Schizosaccharomyces pombe: one gene and its partners. The gene in region 1 interacts genetically with each later gene. Each region holds a gene or a part of one and is shown on either strand. Other genes may lie near its edges.

Region 1 (9,734 bases):
CATAAGTGAAATTGTCTTTCCTGACATGTTAATCTCAACATAGTTTGCTTACTTTAGCTTCGAAGCCGAGAAGGTTTTACCGAAATTAACGAATGTTATTTCTCGTTATTTCTCAAACAACATCATTCATGATTACTGTCCGCCAATTCACTTTTACCATCTTCAAGTTTCAATTTATGGCGACGTCCAATGTATCATCACGTGTAAATGAGCTTTTAGAAGCGGTTAAAAAGGAATTTGAAGATATTTGTCAAAAAACTAAAACCGTTGAAGCTCAAAAGGATGATTTTGAATATAAAGGTATCTTATACAAGAATTTGCTGACAAATTTGCGGTACAAATCTAACACTTCTTAAATTAGCAATGATATCTGCACAAATTAATGAAATGGCGCTCATGAAACAAACCGTTATGGATTTGGAGATGCAGCAGTCTAAAGTGAAGGATCGGTATGTCAATTTTCCTAATACACGCTTGGCGAGAAGGTTTGTTATATTAGTACAAGGTTATGCAATTATTGTGAGTGTTGTAGAGTCTTACAAAAGCGATTCCTCTCTAAATATTTATACAATTTACGGTCGTTGACGATAAATCTTTAAAGATGCTAAATAATGGTGGCTCCTTTGATGGGAGTAAATTCTATTAAGTAATCTTTTCATATTTTTACTCCGATGAAGGGTATTTCGTTTTTTACTCAGTATTTGGATGTTTATCACTGTTCGAAGATTCTCTGTCCTTTTCACACTTTTGTCAGCACCAGCATGCCTTCTGCTATGTGAACATTTATTCTCAATTTTATATTATATTTTCTCGAAAGCTATCTTTCTTGTTACTAACTCTCTCTAGTTACGAAGAAGAAATCACCTCCTTAAAAGCTCAACTGGAAGCTAGACGCAAAGAAATTGCTTCTGGCGTCGTCCCACAGTCTTCGAAAACTAAACACGGGCGCAATAGCGTTTCTTTTGGAAAATATGGAAATGCGGGCCCTTTTAACTCGGACAACTCCTCGAAACCTTTGATACTTAATAACGGTTCTTCTGGAGGAACTCCTAAAAATCTTCGATCACCTGCCATTGATTCAGATGGTACTGTTTTAGCTCCTATTCAGACCTCGAACGTAGATCTTGGTTCACAATATTATTCCAGTCCTCATGTACGCCCTGCTGTGGGTGCAACCATGGCTGGATCTGCTATGCGAAGTAAGTTCAAGCTTGCATTGTAGCTTTTGGCAACAGCATTTGTTTTTTGACTTGATCAAGTTTATAGATACTTTTTGTCTTTCACTTTATTGTTTGCATCTGGTATGTTGTACACCGTATGTTCCCAGACAATTTTTTAATGCTGTCATTAATTCGTTTGAATTCCTTGCGGCTTTTGTTCATTTTTTGTAAAACAAAATACTATTGCCGAAACTATTTTGCTTCCTCGTTTTAATTTGGATTTTCTTACTTACCATTCACAGCATTTCCTTCCAATTTACCGCTCGGACATCCTCCACCTCCATCTGACTCAGCTAATTCTTCCGTCACACCTATCGCTGCTCCTTTGGTTGTAAACGGAAAAGTCTCAGGTAATCCTCCTTATCCTGCTGAAATTATTCCGACATCCAATGTGCCTAATAGAGAGGAGAAAGATTGGACTGTCACTAGCAATGTACCTAACAAAGAACCCCCGATCTCTGTTCAACTACTTCATACACTGGAACACACAAGCGTTATTTGTTATGTAAGGTTTAGTGCCGATGGAAAATTTTTGGCTACGGGTTGTAACAGAGCAGCTATGGTTTTTAATGTGGAGACCGGTAAATTAATTACGCTTCTGCAGGAGGAATCTTCGAAGCGTGAAGGTGATTTATATGTTCGCAGTGTAGCATTTAGTCCTGATGGTAAATACCTTGCTACTGGTGTCGAAGATCAACAAATCAGAATATGGGACATCGCTCAAAAACGTGTTTATCGTCTACTGACTGGGCATGAGCAAGAAATTTATTCCCTTGATTTTAGCAAAGATGGAAAAACATTGGTTTCTGGTAGTGGAGATAGAACTGTTTGTCTTTGGGATGTTGAAGCTGGCGAGCAAAAACTAATTTTGCATACCGATGATGGTGTTACTACAGTAATGTTTTCTCCCGACGGTCAATTTATTGCTGCAGGTTCTTTAGATAAGGTAATTAGGATTTGGACATCGTCCGGAACTTTAGTAGAGCAGCTTCATGGTCATGAAGAGAGTGTTTACAGCGTTGCCTTCTCTCCTGACGGAAAATACCTGGTTAGTGGAAGTTTGGATAACACAATTAAGTTATGGGAGTTGCAATGCGTCTCCAACGTTGCACCCAGCATGTATAAGGAAGGCGGTATTTGCAAGCAAACTTTTACTGGACATAAAGATTTTATTCTAAGTGTCACTGTCTCTCCGGATGGAAAATGGATTATTAGCGGCTCGAAAGACCGAACCATCCAATTTTGGTCCCCCGATTCTCCTCATTCTCAGTTAACTCTCCAGGGACACAATAACTCAGTAATATCGGTTGCTGTTAGCCCGAATGGCCATTGCTTTGCTACTGGTAGTGGTGACTTACGAGCAAGAATTTGGTCTTATGAGGATCTGTAAGAACTAGCGATGTTTCATTTATAGCATTGAATGACAATGTCCGAAACCTACTTAATTTTTTAATTCTTCATTTGCCAATAATGCCCATTGACCATTGTGAGACTCGCTTCTTGGCAAGTCTTTTTTCCTTTATTTTATAAAAATTCATAACCGATTTTGTAACCCTTCAAACTTGCGGCTTATTTTGGTCGGAATTTTTCTATCAAGTCAAGCCGACCAGATGTTTTTGCTAATTCTTGAATCATTTCAATTCCCTTTTTTTAATTTTTGATACTTCCATACAATCCCCGACAACCGAAACTCTGATTTTATCCATAGTATTTCATTAACTATTAAATCCCAACTTTTGTATATATTTAATAGACCCTTCAAGTTATGTATATGTTTGCGCGACCTAGCTACTTAGCAATTGGTTTTTACGGTTAAATAACTTCATATATTTTTTGAATTTTGAATGTCGAATACTAAGTTTCTATTTATTAGTTTTAATGTCGTTTCAACCTATTCCTCTTAGATAAGGTAATGCTTCCCCTAATTCATAGCAGCCTGTCAGCTCTCCTCCCCACCCCTACCAGTGTAGCTAATACTTGAAATCAACTTCCATGCTCATAGTTTATGATCTTGAATATTCCATTAAGTTAAGAGTTCAGATTTGCTTTATGTGGTTATTCTGCTGAAGGTCCTAATTTATTGACGTTGAAAAATAAAGGCCACATAGATGAACAATAAATCACTTTTGGATCTTTCTAGTGAGCCTGCTATCAAAGATACAGACATTCTATCATATTTTGATGCTAACCTTCCTTTTAAAAAAAGGCATCAGATTGTAAGGAGTATTTACCATGGCTTAAAATACTATATATATTCATCGACTTCTATCATTCAAGTATGGCAAAATATTCAGGATTTTATCTCCACCAAAAACGATAATGCTGCTTTTCGGGAGCTTGTATACAATCTTATGATGAGATATGTTTCTACACAAAAGCATCTCTCGATTATAGAGCGCCACACTTTTTTTCAAACTATTGAGAAAGATCCTTTTCAAGATATTGCTGAATTACAGCTTCGGCTTAAGAGTTTGAGTGTTTTAACGGATGAAGGGCACAAAATCTCCGGTATTGAGAATAGGGTTGGTCCTTTGTTGAGTGCATGGTTTAACCAGTATCTTCAATGGCAATCTCAAGCAACTGAATTGCAAGGCAAAGACGCAGATTCAAAGCTCGTACATTTGCTTTTTTTTAAAAGCCTTTTTAAGTTTTCTACCAACTTAGTAAAATTTCAGTGGTTCCTAGTGCCTGAACCTCAAATGCTACAGCTTGTTAATTCCGTGGTACAAATATGTAATCACGCTCGCTTAGAAGATGTGGTTACTGAGGTTCTGATGTTTTTTGATTCCATGATTCGCTACTCGGTTATTCCAAAAGCTTCACTGTATGATACTGTTCTTATTTTGTGTAGCACATACATCAGCACCTACTCATATTCGAAACTTGCACAATCTGTTATATTTAATCTTATTAGTAGTCCCGTGTCAAATCTGGCTTTTGAAAACGTATTTAATATACTTCAATACAATCGCTCGAATGTTAATGCTGTACGGGGCGCTGTGCGTTTAATGCGTTTTCTCATGCTGCAAGAAGTGAAAAATGATGCAATAGCTTCTATAACTTTAAGTTCAAGTATTGAATTTACTGAGTTTCCATTAGGATTTAATGAGAATGTTGATTTTGAGATCCTTGGTACTGTGTATCTTTTTTTACGTACACCTTCTATATTAAATCGCCTTAATTTTTTGGATTGGCATCGGATTCTTAATATTTTAATGTATTGTTCACAATATCTACCTTTGAAAGCTAGTACATCGAAGGAAGCATTTTCGAAGACTGCAGCATTTGCTAATATATATGATCGTGTTTTGGATTTTTTGGATTTCGAAGCCTTGATTCCACTGCTGCAACAATTTCAGGTTAAGCTGGTATTCTTTTTGAAGGATGTTCTTCCAGTGTTAAAGCCGAAAATTCGAAAAAAACTTTTACGTCTTTTTGAGACTTACAATCTTATATTTCCTTGCAATCAATATTGGGTATTCAACCTTGAATTTTTACTTGGTATTTACCAATGCAAAACATTTGATCTTGAAGATCGAGCTCTTTTATTTAAGCTTGTGGAAGATGCTTGCTCTGTTGCTGATGAAAATTCGGCCCCCATTTTGTGTTCGAAATTCCTTTTTCCAGTAATTGAAAGCTTTTCTAAGGAATCTGATGATTGTGTTGTTTCTCCTGTATATAATATGTTGTTTTTCTTGTCTGTCAATTTTCAAAACCCGGGACTTAAGGATTGTATCGATCATATTTTTCAACAGCTAATTTCCGACACGAGCTCTGTTACTGTTCGCAGACTTGCCACGAGTACATTAATTCGTCTTTTTTATTATTATTATGACTTAAGGGATGCTGTGCCTATTCAAGAAACACTGGCTAAAATGTTAGAAATCTTGGAGACTCCATCTTTCCCTTTTGTTTCTCGAATGTTGTGTTTACAATTCTTTCTTCGATTTCGAGCAAATGGGACGTCTATTTATATATGTGAGAATATAGATTTGAATGAACCCTTCAAAGTCTTAAACGTTGATTCAGAACTGATTCCTGCAGTTTATCCCATTTCTGATTCTTTTGTTAACTCAGCAACAGTAGAAAAGCATATTTGGGAACGAAAAGAAAACGATTTGATTAAAATTTCAAATCATTCTACAGAATATGGCAAGGACTTTGTAACGTTCCCAACGTCTTCCTTGTTAAGGTTTTATCGAAAATCCATGGCTACAGAGTCTAACTGGACTATCCTTATGTTCATGATTACCCACCTTGCTGATCAAATAAGTAATAGGAGTATGTTTATCGGCGCATTAGAAGAAATCTATAATTTACTTGATTTTATGTGTGATATCGTTTTTGAAAGAGTTTCTATATCTGCTGAAATTCCTTCTAATATTCGTAAGGCCAACATCATGATACCAATCTTGCAAAACGTACAAATGCTTTTTGTTTATCATGATCAATTCAGCAGGGCTCAGGAAGATGAATTAGTCAGCGTTTTTTTTGCAGGGTTGCAAAAATGGAACGAAGCATGTCATGTTTCTATTCATTCACTTATGTTATGCTGTTATGAATTACCCGTTTCAATTCGAAAGCAGTTACCTGCAATTTTAGTCACTTTGTCAAGGTTAATCACCAAACCTGATTTGAGCGTTCACATTTTAGAATTTTTATGCAGTTTAGCAAGATTACCTGATCTTATTGCAAACTTTACGGATGCTGACTATAGACAAATTTTTGCAATTGCTTTGAAATACATTCAGCACAGAGATTTCACTAAGGAGTCGAAAGATTCAAATGATACGGAGAGCATATTAAAAAACTCTTACTCATCATACGTTCTAGCTCTAGCCTATAGCGTGTTACAAATATGGTTTCTTTCGTTAAGATTAACTGAGCGTAAAAAATTCGTACCTTGGATATTGCGTGGACTGAAGCTTGCTTCTGAAGGTAAACCATTGGAAGATTTATGTCTTGTTCAATATGACATGATGCAACAATTTTGCTATTCTAATTCCGACATCAATAACCAAACATCTACTTTTGTTGACTCAGACGTGGAAAGTGAAACTTGGATTCGTGGTAATTCACTCTTTACGATAAACGTGTCGGTAAACTCTGGATTCTTAGAAGCTGTCATTCGTCGCCCGACAGGTACTACGCAGTATACTTTTCGAAATGAAGCAAGTCTGCAAAAGTTTTTATGGGAGGAAAATCTCACAAGTTCAAAGGCTCTTACGAGGGGGCTTTTGTGTACTCCTAGCAGCTTTGTCTCTCATTTCTTGGATCCACATGGTATTTCTTTATACAATCAGCCTCTTCTGCTTCCCTCTAATGATGATTCTGTGCGTAGGGCTATAAGTGTTTTTGACCGTATTCCTGTAATTGAATCACTGAAGGCTGGTCTTGTGTACGTTGGGTACCAACAGCGTCGAGAAGCAGACATATTGGCAAATACAAATCCTTCTGAAGATTTCCTTACTTTTCTTAACGGTCTGGGCACATTATTCGAATTAAAAACAGATCAAAAAGTTTTCGCTGGTGGTTTAGATAGGGAAAATGATATAGACGGTGCGTTTGCGTATTGTTGGAAAGATAAAGTTACCCAAATGGTGTTCCATTGCACTACAATGATGCCAACTAATATAGAACATGACCCTGGGTGCACATTAAAGAAGCGTCATATTGGAAATGACTTTGTTACTATTATATTCAACGAATCTGGTTTAGAGTACGACTTTGATACAATTCCTAGTCAGTTCAACTTTGTGAACATTGTTATTACCCCTGAATCCGAATCTATCAGAAGAACAGGGCGTCAAATTAAATTTTATAAAGTTAAAGCGTTGACCAAATATGATATTGACTTTAGCTTATTCCGTCGTTACAAAATTGTTTCAAGCGATGCATTACCGGCAATTGTTCGTGATGTAACTCTGAACGCTGCCGTTTTTTCACATATATATCATCGCAGTGCTGGTGATTATGTTCATATATGGGCTGAAAGATTACGACAGTTAAAAAGATTACGCGAAAAATTTCAAGCTTCAGTTTTACCAGAAGACTACAATCTCGACGAGCAAACAAAGACCAAGCTTCAAAATGGCACGAATTTTTCGGACTTTACTAGTTATTTATGAGCCATAAGGGCATATAAAAAGTCCTAAATTAAAAGATTGATTACGATTGTGCCTTGCCATCATTAATTAATTTTTTTTATTTAATCTTAAATATTATTTATAGATCAGATAATGAAGATGTTAAGGAAGATGAATAAAAGAAACGGTATCCATGTATATGAGATGAATGTAGAAAGGGTTATGCGCACAATTTTTTTAAACAAATGAATTGTTGTTGACAATGAAAATCGGCGTGCATGAGTTTTGTAAAGTGGGAGGCTATAACGGTCAGTTCCAAAAAAAAAGATAGCAGTCCTCAATAATATAAGAGCAAAAAAGATGGATATAGAAGCACCATACCAAACATAAATTTGAATTTGGTTAGGAAGAATGCATAACTTTGTCTGATAAGAACTTTTTTGATCGGCTTTAGGGTTGTCATAAGGATAGTTCAATGAGAGAAGTTGATATCCCGGATATAGTATGCCGCTGGTCATAGAAAATGCCTTCACATTATATTCCGTGGTGGCTGCTTCTCGAGTATCCACCTGGTAATTATGCACAACTTCGCAATAATCGTGATCGTCTCCAGCAAATGCGGCAATTGGTTCAACAGCTTTTAAAATAGACTCGGAAAGTTCTGGCAAAAGCAAGTTTTGATACTGATATCCCAAACCATATTTGATAACATCATCTTTTTCACGAAGCTCCCCGCAAGAATTGATGGCAGGGCGAAACAAAGGAACGTGAGATAGAAGGATCCTAGGTCTCGAGTTGTCCTTATTTGTTTCAAAGCTTTTTAAGAAGTCTCTAGCCGGTTGATAAACTTGGGGATTGACGTTGTTTGATAAACGAATTCCATCTACAATAACCAGTGTATGATTGCCAACGTCTATTGATCGAGATGTTGGACCAAAAAGAGATTCAAATCTTTGAATATCCTTAACAATAGCGTGATTACCAAATCCAATATCATGATTGCCAGGGTAGATTTCCAATTTATTGGTGAATTTTGGGTCAAGGACGTTCATCATTCTGAAATAATCTTTTTTAAATTCTTCAGTTGCGAATTCTCTACCTGTGTCCATCAAATCGCCCATTATGAAAGTAATATCTGGCTTCAGTGATTTATGAAGATAACGCCAATGCCGACGAAGAAACTGGTCGGAAATCCATTTAACGATTCCAATTAAAGGTCGAGGATAATCATAAGTCAAATCGTCAACTAATTGAGGATCCGCAACCAATGCAATCCTTACTGGATTCCCAGTACTCTCCCATTGCTCCCAAGACCGCCAATCGCACTTTTTATGTGGCCTTGTATGAATAATTTTCTCGAGATAAAGAACATAAAAACAAAAAGCAATTATGACTAAAAAACGACCTACTTTCATCTTCAGTTATTCTTTTCTTCTATTAAAAATGCACGCTCTAAGAAAGTAAGAATAGTAAATCGAGATAGTATGCCAAGTATATACACTACGTTCTAATTTATCGATGCAGAATAAAGGTCGAGTAATTTCAAAGCAATCTAATGAAACTCCACGTTTACAATAAAACCGAAATGTTGGAGAAATGACACTAGACCCTAATGATTAGTTAAATTTATTATTCCTGTTCTTAGTATGACTTTGAAACAGGTGTATTTTTCTTCTAGATAAACCTTGTTAGTAAAGACTTCAAAAATTGTGAAGTTTGGAAAACTGAAGGACCTTTGGCTCAAGAAGCGACTGGCCTCATGTAGAGAATCTTAATATGAAGCTTTGCGGTGCTCAATTTCTTGATTGAATACCCACTATTTTCACTCAACAAGTAATATTCACCTTCTAATTGATTTAATTTATAAACTGACTCATTAATTGCTTTGTATTTAGGTCGATATTGAACAATCTTCAGAAGCACGTAGCTAGAGAGGATAAGTTCTAAATGTCGCCTAATCAGAGAAAGGTACAATCTTATTTTAAATTACTCATATAGAAAACTATTAAGGTCCAGAATTCATATAGACGAATACATTCTATAGTTTAATTTTATCATAAAAGTGACTTTTCGTGATACTTCGGCCTTACTAATTACTAGTTTAAATATGTAACGTAATATCTATTTTGACAATGACTAGATATTTAATCAATATAAAAATTCCAAGAAACTGAAAAATTCCAGTATTTCTCTTATAGTAAAAAGCACCCAAAAACGAGAGAAACAGGTTAACTATAGTCAAAAGCCAATGAGTAAGATATTTCGTTAACATACTTCAAGAATCAAGACTTGAAAGCAATGCTCCGTGAAATTGAACATCTGAAAAATTCAAGAAAACTGTTAATATTAACACGAATCCTTATAACTCTTCAGACACTAAGAAATACTAAGGGGAGAGCAAAGTATGAGAAAAGACAAGCATTAAACG
Region 2 (3,739 bases), on another chromosome or scaffold:
ATATGATTGCTTTTGATGCATCTGGACGGATCAAGAAGTATGACAGTGTTGAAGATATTTTGACCGAGTTTTACGAAGTACGTTTAAGGACATACCAGAGACGTAAAGAGCATATGGTTAATGAATTGGAAAAAAGGTTTGATAGATTTTCAAATCAAGCGCGGTTTATTCATATGATTATAGAGGGGGAGCTTGTAGTTTCAAAAAAGAAGAAAAAGGATCTCATTGTGGAGCTGAAGGAAAAGAAGTTTCAACCTATCAGTAAACCAAAGAAAGGGCATTTGGTTGATTTAGAAGTTGAAAATGCTCTTGCTGAAGAAGAACAATCTGGTGATGTTTCGCAAGACGAGGATTCAGATGCCTACAATTACCTTCTTTCAATGCCTTTATGGTCTTTGACCTATGAACGGTATGTGGAACTTCTCAAGAAAAAGGACGAAGTAATGGCCGAACTGGATGCTTTGATTAAAAAAACTCCTAAAGAATTGTGGCTTCATGATTTGGATGCATTTGAGCATGCTTGGAATAAGGTTATGGATGATATTCAGAGAGAAATGTTAGAAGAAGAGCAATCCTCTAGAGATTTTGTAAATCGAACGAAAAAGAAGCCTCGAGGTAAATCCACTGGTACTAGGAAACCCAGGGCTATTGCCGGATCCTCCTCAAGTACTGCTGTTAAAAAAGAAGCTAGCAGCGAATCCAAACCATCTACAACAAATCGAAAGCAACAAACTTTACTTGAGTTCGCAGCGTCGAAAGAACCTGAGAAATCATCTGACATAAACATTGTCAAGACAGAGGATAACTCTCATGGCTTATCAGTTGAAGAAAATCGCATATCTAAGAGCCCGGGATTGGATAGCAGTGATAGTGGAAAATCAAGAAAAAGAAGTCAATCTGTTGACTCTGAAGACGCAGGTAGTAAAAAACCCGTCAAAAAAATAGCAGCCTCGGCGTCTGGAAGAGGAAGAAAGACTAATAAACCAGTTGCTACTACCATATTTTCTTCAGACGATGAAGATGATTTGTTGCCTAGCAGTTTGAAACCTTCCACCATAACATCCACGAAGGCTTCTGCGAAGAATAAAGGGAAAAAAGCAAGCTCGGTAAAGAAACAATCACCTGAAGATGACGATGATGATTTTATTATTCCAGGTAGTAGTTCAACTCCAAAAGCTAGTTCGACTAACGCAGAGCCACCAGAAGATTCAGATTCTCCGATTAGAAAGAGGCCAACCAGAAGAGCAGCGGCTACAGTGAAAACACCTATTTACGTTGATCCCTCGTTTGATAGCATGGATGAACCCAGCATGCAAGATGATTCTTTTATCGTCGATAACGATGAGGATGTAGACGATTATGATGAGAGTGATTAGCTTCTAAAATTTGGTGTTTTCAAACGCTATTTACAGTACAATCTGAAAAAATTGGATGAACATTGTAAATGGTAGGATACGAGTTCCAATTAATGTATTTTTTAAGTATTACACTTAGCTTATTAATTTTATATATACATTCTACCTCTGTGGGTTTAAAGACAACTCGTACACATACTCAAATTATTTATGAACATTATAATGCATATTCGTACTGTCTATTAAACATTTTTTTGACATTAAAAATTTCGTTTACTAACGTAGAAAGCGCTGATAATTGAGGCTACTATTTTAATATCTAGAAACAAAGATTCATTAATTAATTAAGTAAGCTCCAGGATACTTGTATATTTCGTTAAAAAAGCGCAATTTCAACAATTCCTATGAACATCCATGATTTCATCACAAAATCAAACATATCAGGATTTAACGTGAATTATTTGCTTTCTTGTGATTTTCATCTGATTTCTGGTCATTTACGTTACTGTAAACAAGCTTTTTAAAAAAAGGATTTTTTACGCAATATTATCGATATCCCAATCTGTAGTATAAAAAGTGCAACAGTGTTGAGTTTCCCGAAACCAGGCATTTTTGCGGTAGGGTCTGAAACTTTCACGAAACCATTTCACAACAAAACTTCTTCAACAACATGTGTGCAAAGAAAATCGTCGTCTTACCAGGAGACCATATTGGCCCTGAAATTGTTGCTTCTGCCTTGGAGGTTTTGAAAGTCGTTGAGAAGAAGCGACCTGAGTTAAAACTCGAGTTTGAAGAACACAAGATTGGAGGTGCCTCTATTGATGCCTATGGAACCCCTTTGACTGACGAGACTGTGAAGGCTTGTTTGGAAGCTGACGGTGTTCTTTTGGGTGCCGTTGGTGGTCCTGAATGGACCAACCCCAATTGTCGTCCTGAGCAAGGTTTATTGAAGCTTCGTAAGAGTATGGGTGTTTGGGCCAACCTTCGACCTTGCAACTTTGCCAGCAAGTCTTTAGTCAAGTACAGCCCTTTGAAGCCTGAAATCGTTGAAGGTGTCGATTTTTGTGTTGTACGAGAACTTACTGGAGGTTGTTACTTTGGTGAGCGCACTGAGGACAACGGATCGGGTTATGCTATGGACACTTGGCCTTACAGTTTGGAAGAAGTTTCTCGTATTGCTCGTTTGGCTGCTTGGTTAGCTGAAACTTCCAACCCTCCTGCTCCCGTCACATTACTCGACAAAGCTAATGTTTTGGCAACTTCTCGTCTTTGGCGCAAGACTGTAGCTAAGATTTTTAAGGAGGAATATCCTCACCTTACCTTAAAAAACCAGCTCATTGACTCCGCAGCCATGCTTTTGGTCAAGAGCCCTCGTACACTTAACGGTGTTGTTTTGACTGACAACTTGTTTGGTGACATTATTTCAGATGAGGCTTCTGTCATTCCTGGTAGCTTGGGCCTTTTGCCTTCTGCCTCCCTTTCCGGTGTGGTAGGAAAATCAGAAGAAAAGGTTCATTGTTTGGTTGAGCCCATTCACGGTAGCGCTCCCGATATCGCTGGCAAGGGCATTGTTAATCCTGTTGGTACAATTTTATCTGCTTCCCTTCTCCTTCGTTATGGTTTGAATGCTCCTAAGGAGGCTGAAGCTATCGAAGCCGCCGTACGCAAGGTCTTGGATGATACTTCAATTGGTGGACGTGGTCTTTATACTCGCGATTTGGGAGGTGAGGCTTCTACCGCTGATATTACTAAGGCTGTTGTTGAAGAACTTGAAAAAATTTTGTAATAGGGTTTAATGTAGAATAAATTCATATGATTTGATTTGACCTAATTTTTATTGATTAATTGTGTCGCATATTTATTATCGTTAAAAATGCAATTGACAAAAGCGTAAATTTTAAGGCTCTAATGTTTTTTCTTTTGGTATGTTATAGTCAAGCAAAGATGTATTAAGTTGCAAAAGCATGGAATTGATTTACGACATCCGTTCAACTTTATGACCGAGTTGTCGCTGTGTACTTACTCTTTTTTTACTATGAAAAGTTTCAAACATAATATCATTAATTATTTCTTTTTAAACGAAGTAACCTGTAACATAAATAATAGGGGAAAAGAAGAAAAAAACCATAAAAATTCGAGAACGTAACAATTATTATTGTAACGATGACAACCCGATTCTTTGAGAGAGCCAGAGACATGACTTTTGCATTACCGTAATTGGTTTCTACTTATGAATTGTAAACTTGTGTAGGGAATTTCATCCACAGCTATCGCGGGCTGCTCTCTGCATCAGTGTTAGCACATTTTATATTAATGAAGATTTTGCTATGCAAAATACGTACATTTCTGGCGCATATATTTTTATCAAACGAACATGACTATCC
Region 3 (4,523 bases), 4.6 Mb from region 1:
GAGAAAAAAAAGTTTTCAAAAATCCTTGAGGAAGCTGGACTTGTTGCAGTCGATATACCAGCGGATGGAAATTGTTTATTTGCTTCCATTTCACATCAGTTAAATTATCATCATAATGTTAAACTAAATAGCCAAGCTCTTCGTAATAAATCCGCTGATTATGTATTAAAGCACTGCGAACAGTTTGAAGGCTTTTTGCTAGACGAAGAATCTGGAGAAGTTTTGCCAGTATCCGATTATTGTAACGAAATTCGAAACAATAGCAAATGGGGAAGTGATATTGAAATACAGGCATTAGCAAACTCTCTTGAGGTTCCTGTTCATGTCTACAACACAGAAGGTCCAGTTTTAAAGTTTAACCCCTCAACGGTCAAGTTCGAAAAACCGTTGTGTATAGCATATTACCAGCATTTGTTTGGGCTTGGCGCTCACTATAATAGTTTATTATATCGGGACAATTAAAAAGATCTAATGAGATGCTTTAGATAGGTTTTTATCCTTTGGTTTATTAGCTTCCTTCCTCGCCGGAAACCATTTAAAAAGGCTGTGCCTTACGAGTTAGATTATATGAATAATATTTATGAATTAAAACTCTTCTGTATTCTATTAATCAAAAAAAAAAATTAGCCATTATTATCTATCATATCCAGTCATATAGTATGCACAATAAATATTACCAAACATGCTTAGAAAGCTTCATCAGGGAAGCATTAGAAACGGTAGAACAATAAATAGAATTAAGGTAGAACATTACTTGTAGCTGTAAGGGGGTGGTGCCTCATCACTTTTTCTTGGAGGCGGTATATGTGGTTGAGGACGAACGTTAGGAATATCGGTTTGTTGCGAACTTGAGCCAGGAAAAAATGCATGCTGTTGAGCACTCGCCTCAGGTCTTTCGGGAGTAGGAAGATCTTCACGCCTGCGCCTTTGATCAATCATGGCCGAATCTACTGGTTCATACCACCCACAATGAGAACAACGAAGTACCTGCTCTGAGTTAGCAAGTGAGTGCTTATTAGTTGGACAGCAAAATAATCCCAACTTTCCCTGGAAAGCATGTAACATTGAAGATTGAAGAATGGCTTAGAAAATAACAAACAAGGTCTGTCAGGTTTCCAAACAATGATAAGTAGAAAGGGTCAACTACATAACATATGCTTTCTTGAATTCCCTTACCTTACTCGTATAAACCGGGAGAACAGGCAAAACGATGAGTGCTAAAGATTTAACCAAACGATATACCCGAACTAAAAACCAAAGTTTTACGTTAACATTAATAAAACAACCCAAAGAAAGAGCAATTGCCTTCATGCAACTACACCACTTATATGTGTCTCATACCAGTTTTATTTTGGCTAAAAAGAAAGTATTAGCAAAAAGTGCTGATGAAAAGAATAGAAGGAAAACAAGAAGACTGCTAGAAACTATTTTTAAATGACAAATTTTAATAAAAAACAAGTGCGTAATTTCTGAAAACAAAATGTTTCTACAATTGTTCCATTTCCACTTCGCCATTTAAACAATGTACTCAATCCACTTGTTTTAACACTAATTCATTGATTTCATACCATACAGGACATGTCAGTAAGACGTGCTTATATTTGCTATTGACTTTCCATATGTCTTGAACATTCAGCGGTATCGGCAAGAAGAGGAACATCTCACGTTAAGAGTCTTAAAATCTTCTTTAAAAAAAAAGAAAAGAAGTTGGATATTATAATGAATAATTCGAGTTAAATCCAAAATATTCGTTTTAGCAGAGTCACTCCATTAGTACGTAGACTAAGCCTCACAGTTAGTGTAATATCACAGAAAATATTTTCGTTAGCTTTATCGCTAAATACATAAAAGAATATCATCACAAAAAGAGGTATTGCTAACGAACTACGGTGCGTCTCTATATTTAGAAGCAACACCAATAACTTCAAAAAATGAAAGCAGAAAATTCGTAGAGAAGAAATTTTCTAATCTTGCATCCCAAGTCAAATCATGTATTTGTGTCTTTAATTAGTAAATATTAGGATAATCGTTGATTTGAAGTATTAAAAAATTGATTGTATTTTGGAGCGCAAATCTGAGATTTTTTTTATAGATTAAAAAATTCTCCTTGATACGGTCATTTTCGGTTGACTTGTGTTCAAACTCTTTCTATAAAAAGAGGTTCTTTTTCTAAGAGAATCCCTGCCGAGTTTCCTTAAGTTTTAGAAAGGTAAAGGGCTGGTCGACGTCTTTTCACATTGTTGGTGCCAAAAACAAAATTTTCGAGACAAATAACTGGGTTCGTGGTGTATATTTTAACAAATTATCGTTTATTTTAATTTTCTGTATTTCGTTATTATATACCGTTTTTTCGTGCTCGTTTCATCTTGTATCGTTCTTGACAATTTCTGTATCTTCACTTTTTGGATTTATTTGTTTGGATGCGTGGCATAGAATAATCATGTCGAATTCGTTAAATGATCAAACACGACCACCCGATTCAAGTGTTGTAGACAGTACATCTTCCAACTTTCCAAATGCGTCAAACGATAGTGTACATGATAAACCGGTAAAACAGGACGAACAATCCAATCCAAATGTTCGCGAAGCAATTGCTAATTCCGATGGACAAGAATCTTTAGCTGTAAAGGAAAACAAGGATACGGAAAGCTCATCCTCTCATTTCGTACCTAACGGAGTTTCAAATTCTAAAAAGAGAAAGCTCGTGGCTACAGATTTAGATGTTGATTTTGATATTAGTAGTGTACGAGTTACTGAAAAGCCATCTGTATTAGAAGAAAAAAGCGGCGTTATTCAATTTCGTGTTGTTTCTAACGACGACACCGCCGACAGTATGATCATGTTGACTGGTTTAAAAAACATATTTATGAAACAACTTCCTAAAATGCCAAAAGAATACATTACGCGGCTAATTTATGATCGAAACCATCTTTCAATGACCATTGTCAAAGATAATTTACATGTAGTGGGCGGTATTACTTATCGTCCATTTGAACAACGAGGATTTGCCGAAATTGTATTTTGTGCGATTGCTTCCAATGAACAGGTTCGTGGTTATGGTTCTCATTTAATGAATCATTTAAAGGATTATGTCCGTGGAACTACTACAATTCAGCACTTCTTGACATATGCAGATAACTATGCAATCGGGTATTTTAAAAAACAAGGATTTACTAAGGAAATTACTCTTGACAAGTCTATATGGGTTGGCTATATTAAGGATTACGAAGGTGGCACACTTATGCAATGCACCATGATTCCAAAAATAAAGTATTTAGAAGCTAATCTGATTTTGGCTATTCAGAAAGCTGCTGTTGTTTCCAAAATTAACAGGATCACTCGGTCGAACGTTGTTTATCCTGGTTTAGACGTATTCAAAGATGGTCCAGCTCATATAGAGCCGTCTCAAGTTCCTGGGTTGATGGAAGTTGGATGGTGCAAGGAAATGGAAGAGCTCTCCAAAAAGCCCAGACCTAAACCTTTTTTTGCCGTTTTGGAAATGCTTTTTACAGAAATGCAAAATCATCCGTCTTCCTGGCCCTTTATGCAACCGGTTAGTAAAGAGGATGTACCCGATTATTACGAAGTTATTGAACACCCCATGGACCTTTCGACTATGGAATTTCGGTTGCGTAACAACCAGTATGAGTCTGTAGAGGAATTTATTCGGGATGCAAAATATATATTTGATAATTGCCGTTCTTACAATGACTCCAACACGACTTACTATAAAAATGCCGATAGATTGGAAAAGTTTTTCCAGAAAAAACTTCGTGAAACTGAGTATTCACACTTAGCCGATTAATCATTTACATTTATTATCATCGAAACGTCTATTCCGAAGTTTTATTGATTATAACATATACATTTCACCTTTTAATTTTTTACACGAATATCTTTTGTGCCTTCCAAATATGCTGGCATATCAAGAACTGCTAGTGTTTAATTTTTAGTTTTTTTGTTTAAAAATATATATAATTCTATAATACCAAACACTCTTTATGTTCCATAATAACAAATGTACAACTCATTAAATTGAAAATATGTTATCAGAACAAGTCATGATTTTATTACACAGATGCTTGCATAGATCCAAGTAAAACAGTAACCATAGGTTTTTCGTCAATTCTGTAGTAAGAGTCGTTGGCCTCCACCTCTTCGGACTCCACCGTCGGTTCTTCAAGGTTTTCATGATAATTTTTTAGAGCATCAGTCAACTCATCAATTGGAATGGATGCTTCGGAAAACAGCATCTTAATTTTTTTCAATGTCACTGTATTTTCAACGCATAACCACGAAAGGATAAGAACTGTAGATTGGAAAGGAAACAGTCCATGATCAATTTGTTGGAGAAACCATTTGGTACTCTTTTCCTCCGAATCAGGACTAAAATCAAGTTTTCTGCTTTGGTCAATACCTTTGAGTTGGATTCTCAAGCGATCGTAAATTTTGAAAAGGCGTTTCATTTTTTCAAAGTCATTTTCAATGAATTTCCGTAAAAAGCGCACCCTTTCTACGGTGTC

The links. A genetic interaction does not mean that the proteins touch.
Region 2: mutations in tsc2 (region 1) and leu1 are lethal when combined (synthetic lethality), as found in Schizosaccharomyces pombe (2 studies listed by BioGRID, with this or other methods).
Region 3: of tsc2 (region 1) and gcn5, a mutation in one rescues a mutant of the other (synthetic rescue), as found in Schizosaccharomyces pombe (2 studies listed by BioGRID, with this or other methods).

Annotation. Positions count from the first base shown.
Region 1 is NC_003424.3:367,559-377,292, reverse strand, and holds tsc2 (Rheb GAP, tuberin Tsc2), read left to right. Parts: upstream 1-3,161; 5' UTR 3,162-3,328; coding exon 3,329-7,348; 3' UTR 7,349-7,452; downstream 7,453-9,734. Other genes in the region: transcriptional corepressor Tup12, read left to right, coding at 177-300, 362-449, 847-1,199, 1,463-2,610; SPOM_SPAC630.12 (lipid phosphatase), read right to left, coding at 7,453-8,721. UniProt on the Schizosaccharomyces pombe protein: Together with tsc1, required for uptake of various amino acids from the environment and for proper conjugation. Involved in induction of gene expression of permeases and genes required for meiosis upon nitrogen starvation.
Region 2 is NC_003423.3:1,973,890-1,977,628, reverse strand, and holds leu1 (3-isopropylmalate dehydrogenase Leu1), read left to right. Parts: upstream 1-1,954; 5' UTR 1,955-2,025; coding exon 2,026-3,141; 3' UTR 3,142-3,239; downstream 3,240-3,739. Other genes in the region: top2 (DNA topoisomerase II), read left to right, coding at 1-1,376; anaphase-promoting complex substrate recognition subunit Apc10, read right to left, coding at 3,564-3,639, 3,698-3,739. UniProt on the Schizosaccharomyces pombe protein: Catalyzes the oxidation of 3-carboxy-2-hydroxy-4-methylpentanoate (3-isopropylmalate) to 3-carboxy-4-methyl-2-oxopentanoate. The product decarboxylates to 4-methyl-2 oxopentanoate.
Region 3 is NC_003424.3:4,971,676-4,976,198, forward strand, and holds gcn5 (SAGA complex histone acetyltransferase catalytic subunit Gcn5), read left to right. Parts: upstream 1-1,948; 5' UTR 1,949-2,440; coding exon 2,441-3,805; 3' UTR 3,806-4,023; downstream 4,024-4,523. Other genes in the region: OUT family ubiquitin-specific cysteine protease Otu2, read left to right, coding at 1-462; SPOM_SPAC1952.04C (uncharacterized protein), read right to left, coding at 751-987, 1,177-1,247, 1,342-1,355, 1,569-1,660; SPOM_SPAC1952.06C (uncharacterized protein), read right to left, coding at 4,071-4,523.